2 linked regions of the Ovis aries genome follow. The protein of the gene in region 2 interacts with the protein of the main gene of each other region in a biochemical or structural test. Links are inferred from orthologs where the notes say so. Each region holds a gene or a part of one and is shown on either strand. Other genes may lie near its edges.

Evidence for each region.
Region 1: the proteins of ANXA7 (region 2) and SRI interact in a biophysical measurement, tested with the Homo sapiens proteins (2 studies listed by BioGRID and IntAct, with this or other methods). The link is inferred for Ovis aries from reciprocal best matches to the Homo sapiens genes ANXA7 and SRI.

What each region holds. Positions count from the first base shown.
Region 1 is NC_056057.1:73,943,561-73,947,864, reverse strand, and holds the start of SRI (sorcin), read left to right. Parts: upstream 1-1,497; 5' UTR 1,498-1,528; coding exon 1,529-1,579; intron 1,580-2,489; coding exon 2,490-2,573; intron 2,574-4,304. UniProt on the Homo sapiens protein: Calcium-binding protein that modulates excitation-contraction coupling in the heart. Contributes to calcium homeostasis in the heart sarcoplasmic reticulum. Modulates the activity of RYR2 calcium channels.
Region 2 is NC_056078.1:28,611,557-28,615,066, reverse strand, and holds part of ANXA7 (annexin A7), read left to right. Parts: intron 1-526; coding exon 527-640; intron 641-881; coding exon 882-1,052; intron 1,053-3,510. UniProt on the Homo sapiens protein: Calcium/phospholipid-binding protein which promotes membrane fusion and is involved in exocytosis.

The sequences.
Region 1 (4,304 bases), on a different chromosome or scaffold from region 2:
GGTAGAGATTTTCAGTCATGTGAGAGGAAAAGTTTTGGAGATCTGCTATGAGGCACTGTAGATGCTTTTAACAATAGTGTACACTGTACACTTGGGCAGGAAGATATCAGGTTGTGTTTTTACTACAATAAAAATACTAGGGAAAAAATAAAACCCTCCATATGGGCCAAAGGACTCATATCTCTAATCTACCTTGATGATGACTGTGGTACTTGAAAACAGGAATCAACTTCCTGAATCAAACACAAAGCAAGTAATGTATAGTTGATTCGATATAAGACAACAGGAAATACTAGAATTTTTCTCTCAATTCAGGACTTTTATTTTGAGGTTTGGGGGATCCAAAAGAACTTGAGAGGGAAGTTTATACATGAGAGGAAAACAAAGACCCCAGTGAGAACCCAGTCCACCACATGAGCAAGCCCTGTCCCACACACAGCAGGTGCTCCAGTATTTGTTAAATGTTGGTGACTCATTCAATTTTTCTGTGCAACCTCCACAGCAAATACTGTGAATCTTGCTTATTGTTACATTTCTTAAAACAATAAGAAATTGTTGAAATTCAAAGAACTCTGCGTGATAGAAACTGCAGGAAACAAAACCAAACCAGAAAATCTCACGTCTGAATTGCTTCAAACTGTTAAACTGGGTGAAAAAGCTGTGAAGTAAAGAAAACTGTTTCCTGAATCACCTGAGTGAAACTCCAAGATCCAGCTCCCTTACCTTCCTGACAAGTGTGTTTTTACCAACACACTCTTTGCCTGCACTAAACTGTTCTTGCATAAAAAGTAGCTGAGTGATTTTGGAGACAGGATTGTTTTGCCTGAATCATCCAGATAACTGGAACAACTCAACTTCTAAGAACAATCCGGCCGAGGCTGCCCTGCCTACTAAGTGCCCGCTGTCCTCTTCAGGCCATATCCGAGTCACATCCAGCTTAAACTAGAGATGACAATGTCGCCTAGGAAGGAAACACGCCGTTATTGTTAAGTGAAACGGTCAACTCCAAATGCGCTCAGATCCTGAAATTCACTGCTGATGTCCAAAGGCGCTTTCGCAGCTTGGTTTTTCGAAGTCTCCTTTCCCTGAGAGCATCTCAGGGCTGCCCGAAGGCATTTGGCCCCTTCCCCCAGTACCACACTTTGCTTCCAGACCCGTAGGCCTGTCCAATAAAGTTGTTTAAAATACAAAACGTAGCAGAGGATGCTCGAGCAGGAAGAGAAAAAGAACACCCGGCGAAATGGGTCGGTGTTGGAACGTGCCATTCGTTTTGAAGGGAGGAGAATCCCAGGTGTGAACTGCATCCCGAGCGTGAAGTCATTTACCAGACCTCGGGGTCTTCAGGGCCTGAGAAGAGAAAACACCAAAGACCGGGCGGAGCGCAGGAAGGGGCGGAGGCCGGAAGCGGAGCCTGGCGCGGGCGGCGGCCCCAGGCGCGTACCCCGCGGGCCAGGGTGGTGCGGCCCTGGGCGGTCCCCGCGGGCAGGCGGGGAGGCGGGAGGCGCTGGGCGGCGGCGCAGAGTGCAGCATGGCGTATCCCGGGCATCCTGGCGCCGGCGGCGGCTACTACGCAGGCGGGGTGAGTGCTGCCCGCGCGGGCTCGTGGCCGGGGCGCGATCCCTGGACGCCCGGGGCTCCGAGAAGCCACAAGGGTCGTCTCGGCCGGGGAGGTTCCCGGGCGCCCCCGCCCTGCCCGCCGCCTCGCCCAGCGCCCCCGCCGGCCGGCCTCGGTCTCCGGCGACCTCCTTCCTCCTGTCCCTTCTTCCCCCCGGGTTGCTGCTTGGGGCCGGGACGCGCGTAGTTTAACCCAAGAAGCCCACCCTGTGCCTCCCGGATCCGCGGCGTGAAATCGTGCAAAAGGGGTGTTGCCTTCCGCTCCGCCTTCCCTAAGAGCAACAGCCATTTTACTCTAGAATGGTCCTGCGATCCACTTCTTTCTCTCTCTCTCCGAAATTGAGAGAAACGGGGAAAGTCAGGGAAAGTCCGCTAGAGTCGGAGACTTCCGGCAGGAAGGCAGCCTGGCCCTCAGTCTGGGACGGGCATCCTTTTGGGAACTGTTTCCTGAAGAGAATATTCCCTATCCGTGACACACCTCACCCTCCCGAGGCTACACCTGTCTCAGAACGCTTTAAAAATACCTTAAACGCTAGGAAAAATTATGCAAGACAATTCTGAGCCCTGCTGGTAAGTTGCATGGCCAGGTTGCATTCGTCTCAGTAAACTGCAGGTTAATGGAGATTTGCAGAGGTTACTTCATTTATACTGATGTCATTGTCAAGACAACTCATTTTGATCCTAGCTGCGGGTTTTTAAATTATAACTGGGATGAGAATGGGACAAAGGGAAGGAGTGATTGCGCCTATAGAGTTAAGGGAGGTGGGAGGGGGGGAGCAAACGACTGACAGCGAACCTGGCTTTGCACAAGGCACTCAGTGGTGAAAGGATAAAACTTGGTCATCGGATTTATTCATTTGTTCCCTGTCTTACAGTACGGAGGGGCTCCCGGAGGGCCTGCGTTTCCCGGGCAAACTCAGGATCCGCTGTATGGTTACTTTGCTGCTGTAGCTGGACAGGTTAGCTCTTCCCTTTAACATTAAAGAAATTTCAGTTTGTACATTTGTATTAACCTTTGTTACAGTCCCACGGAAAAACGACTGTTCCTCTGGAAAAGAATTCCTTTGCTTCTGCTCCAGAAAAGAGAGAGAGAGAGAGAGAGAGAGAAGGAAGTTCATGGGCAGTTATTTATTTTTGAATATTCAGAACAAACTGGGACAACGTGTTACTCTTGCTTATGTTCAATTCAGAACTAAACTTGTGATTGAATTAGGGTCAGATTGAACACAATAAACTAGTGTAAATATGCTTTGAAGATATGTAAGGTAGAAAGATGTCTTTAAAACGGTCAATTGTCAGGATCCAGACAGCGAATTTCCAGAGAAGAAATTCCAGGTCGACTGAACTTTAAACCTTTCTTTGTACAATTAGAATCATGTAGTACCAGTAATTCTGTAGCCAGATTCTGAGGGACATTTTCTTTGCATTGAGTTTGACTGTTAATTACCCCTTTAGGAAATGGGTACTCCAGGTTAAAACCCACTAGCTTCAAAATAAGGAAGGTACTTTCTTCTTGCTATCAGGAAGTTAATCTTGTGGCCAGTTTAGTTTTTCTTAGCTGCGGATGCTATTACTAGGTCAGCCCTTCCATGTCCTTGTTAGGTGTTGTGGTCTGTTGACCCAGACAGAGAATGAATTAAGGTCAACACCCCAAAACCTTTCACTTCTTCTAGTTGTGTGACAGGTGGTAGTTCATCTTGTAGGAGGCCTTTTTCCTCAGGTACCAGGTCACTGTATATACCATACTGCCGTTATAATCCAACATGTTCAAAGAGGACATTTGTGCTTATGAATTCAACCTAGCTTTCTTTTAATCAAAAGCTAGAAATAGCACAGTCTTGATGTGAAAATGCCTGTAGACTGTTATGGGATAAAAACGTGTGACCACCTTCTAGAACAGCACTGGAAAAAGTACAGTTTGAGAAACTGAATGGAAAATTGAGTCTAAAACTGAAAGAGCTTCCCCTAAGTATCTGCTTCACCTGTTAGTGATCAGTATCTTTGAAACCACAAGACACGGCAAAGCTCAAGTCTCTGCACTCTTAGACCGCCAGGACCAGGAGCCATGAAAGGCACCCACCTGCTTAGCTTTCAGCAGCCCTGGTCTGCGGCAGCATGTCCATCGTCTTTCCCATTATTGATCGTGCCTGTCATCTAGATTGTATAATAGTCATGAACTTGAGGATTTGGGCATTTTATTTTAAAATCTAACGTGTTTCTAGTTCTGACCTAGGTCAGCCAGTGAATAGGCATGGAGAACTTGTATAATTGTATAACCAGCTATAATTGTGATCTGAAAAAAACATTCATCATATTCTAAGCAAAGGAGATCACAGAGGCTGCTTTTTGTGGGAACCAAACTTTTCATTTACTGATGTCATCTGTGTACCCAGCCCTCCACCCCCTCAACAGAAAAAAAAAAAAAAAAAGCGAGGACAAGTAATAGAACTTCTGATCAAATACATAAATAATTGTATTTTAAATTGCTTACTTTTGCAGTTTCCTAGTTCAGAGTAAGAGTAGTTAAGGGTAGGAGCTAGTTGTATTTATATGTTTAAAAATATGTCTCAGTGGAAGAAACTGAATTAATCTTACTGTTTTATTAAGAAGAGGAACCGTATGCTTTAGAAGTTATGCCATCTAATTCAGGAATTTATAGGAAATGACAAAAAGATATTGGTAATACCAAA
Region 2 (3,510 bases):
ATACTCTTCAATATCTTCACTGAAGTTTTCTCTGACGCTCTCTAGCCCACTTTAACTTTTCCTACTTCAACTTATTTCTGTGCTGCTTATTCAACTGGTGCTGGAGAACAGGCTGCTGTATTTTAGTTTTTAGATGTTTGTCTTTTCTTCTCAAATAAGAACACAATGATGATGATTTCTGCTTCCTCATAAAACAAGAACAGTTTCTTATGCTAAGTAAATACATGTTTATCATTTTATTAATTTGAATTATTCTTTGTTTCAGATTCCTCTTTTTTTGTACCTGGTGTAGTGGCGGAACTACAATAAGTTTATTATCAAGTATTTATTGATAGAACGACTGAAATATATCTTCTTGAATATAATAAGCTTAAATACTTATTCCGTAGTGTATGATATTCTGAACAGAAATTGAGGTTTTCTTAAAGTAGTTCAATTCCATTTTTCTCGTATTTCCCTTAAAAAAATTGAAGCAAAACAAAATTTGGAGAGCTCATATACTGAATTTGTGTTTGTAATGTAACAGGATTTAATCAAAGATCTTAAATCAGAGTTAAGTGGAAATATGGAAGAACTGATCCTTGCCCTGTTCATGCCACCTACATATTATGATGCCTGGAGTTTACGGAATGCAATGAAGGTACTATATGGCATTTACTTTGAGTATTTTATCCTATTTCAAATGTAAAACCCCATAAATTATGGCAGTTCTGAGTTTACAGTGACAGGTAAACCAATATATTATTTTATATCATCTGAATATATAGAGCTTTTCAGTCTGGAGGCCAGAGTTATGTTTGGTGGAACATTAAGATTTAGTAACTTATATAAATTTGCTTTTTGTTTATAATTCTCTCTCATTCTCCCTTAATTTCACATAGGGAGCAGGAACTCAGGAACGTGTGTTGATTGAAATTTTGTGCTCAAGAACAAACCAGGAAATCCGAGAAATAGTCAGATGTTATCAATCAGAATTTGGACGAGACCTTGAAAAGGACATTAGGTCAGATACATCCGGGCATTTTGAACGTTTACTTGTATCCATGTGCCAGGTGAGTATTGAATTAAGTGTCTGAGTGTTGGTGGAGGGAACATTCTTTACTGCCTACTGCCAGTGGGCATTCTTTATTCCTTTTAATATCTAGCCCCCTTGGAATCTTGACATCTTTAAGAGGGACAACAGAGAATCATTTGTATGGGTTTCTTTATTTCTGTATTGAAAATGATTTCTGCAAATCTGGTTGTTGTAAGGAATCGGCAGTTAACCGCATGAAGGTTGTATGAAATCAGAAATCAACTTGAGGCTCTGTGTCTTAGAATGAAGCTGAGTCTGTATTTTTAAGGTTAGCATCGTTCTGCTAGTTAATTGGGACCATCAGCTGAAGATATGCAGGCCTGCTATGCAAGGTGACAAGAGTGAGACAGAAATGCAGGAAACATTTCAGCATCCACTGAAACACCGTGCTTAAGCACCTTCCTTGTTCTGATTCCCTAGATTTGCTGGCAGAGTTGCAGAAAATTCTCCAAATAGGGTATTTGGAATGATGCTATAAATAATCAGGGTATATTTGAAAAAGATGATGCAAAAGACTAGCATACTGATTCAGTATCAGGAGTTACTGGCTATCCCGCTAGTACACAAGGCTGGACAGTCTTGAAGATTCTAAAAGCAGAGGAGAGGCTCTCAGAGCAAAGGGATGTAGTTGCAGAAAAGACAATGTGCCAGAGCGTGTGGGTATGGAAATGAGAAAACAAAGCAAATGGGTGGGAGGACATTGAATTTACCACAACAGAGCCGGAAGGTAGCTTAGCATGAAAAGAAACTCAGAAACACAGATTTAATGCTAAAGAAATGATTATTCAGACTTTAATGAGGTGCTGAATGTCTCTTTATGCAGGGTTCAAGGCCCAACCATTTTATAAAATAAAGGACCCTCTTCCAGGAAGTGGCTTTCTAGGACAGTGGGACCATATTGTGTGCTTGAACCCAAAGGCAGTCATCTGGGGAGCTGGTGTTGAGCTCCTTCGCCTGTGCTGTATTCCGCCTGTTTAGAATAGGCTTGTACACATTGCTTGTGCCAGTGACCTTCAGAAAACAGTTCCTCAACCTTCAGGAACACGGCTCCATTCTGTTCCTCAGACAGACACTAAGACTCTAGAGGGCGACCTTTTCCTTGTTTGGGTTTATGTTTCTGTTTCAGAGAGAAACCAACGACCCATCCATCCAAGCTTTACTCTTACTCAGGCCCCGAGCTTCCTCTCTCCCTCTCTGCCCCATCCCATCCCAGGGAAGAGTTTGGTCTATAAATGGATACAGACTGTCAGCACTTGTGTTACTTACATATTAAGATTGCACTTGGATGAATGAAAGGAAGTTCACGAAGCCTCTATCCTGTATGCTTCCTCTTTTGGCTTAACTTCCTTGGAGGGAGGGGCCTTGTCTTTTCTTGGGTCCCCACCACATAGCACATCCTGTTGGTTCTGTTCCTCTGGAGAACCCTGACTAATACACTCTGGTACCAGATAAGAGCTCCATACCTTTTAGGTACATGGTAAATGTAAAGTGGAACTCAGTATAATGCTGATTTTAAATCCCAGCCAAGCAGAATCATACTTTGTTAATTTGAGTGGTAGTTCATATCTCCTAGGAGACGAGGTCCGCAAAGCATGGCTTAGGAGTCGCTTCATCATGAGAAATCTAAAGTTATTTCAGACCTTGGAGTTCAGGGATATCCAGCTTCTGGGACATCTCAGTGCATCTCTCCCCAAGCTAGAAGAGACAGTGCTCACTGGCTCAGAACATGGACTGATGGAAGGAGACCCTATCACAAAAGAAGCGAAAGTGAAATTCCCTTGATGCCGAGGGATTTCTCCCAGAGGGTGGAAGTGGCTGCATTGTCAGTGTTCAGGACTTGTGGGTCAAAGTCTGTGTGTGTGGCCACAGCCTCTGGAGGTGCTATAGTCTGCAGTTTCAGTACAGTCTCTTTCTCCTGGCCCAATTACCACCCTTCAAAGCACCTCCTCAGAGAAGCTTTCCTGGACTCTCCTGGGCCATTTGTCATTCCCTGCTCTGAGCCTGCATTTAATTCCCGAGAGTTTGGTTGTAGCTCTAATCCCTCTTTGGAGACATCTTTTATCTCCTTCGTGGGAGGAATGGAGTAGTAATAGTCATTTCCAATCTCTTTGGTTTGTATCATACCTAGACTTTCAATACCTGCTACTGGAGAAATGTTTATTGAATAAAAACAAAAAACCCCCACAGCTTGTAAACCAAGGATCAAACCCAAAAGAGTAATTTCTTTAAGAATCCCTGTCTCTTTAGTCTATAGAGAAAGCTTTTTAAACTGAATATCAGTAAAATTGTCTATACCTTCAAAAGTAAAATGTCTGCATAATTTTTTATGGAAACGTTTTCTAATTTAGCTCTCAAAGCCCTGTAAAACCTCTTGTTTTAATATAACCTCATCAAACCATGATCATACATTATAAAATCCATAGTTGGCAATGTAA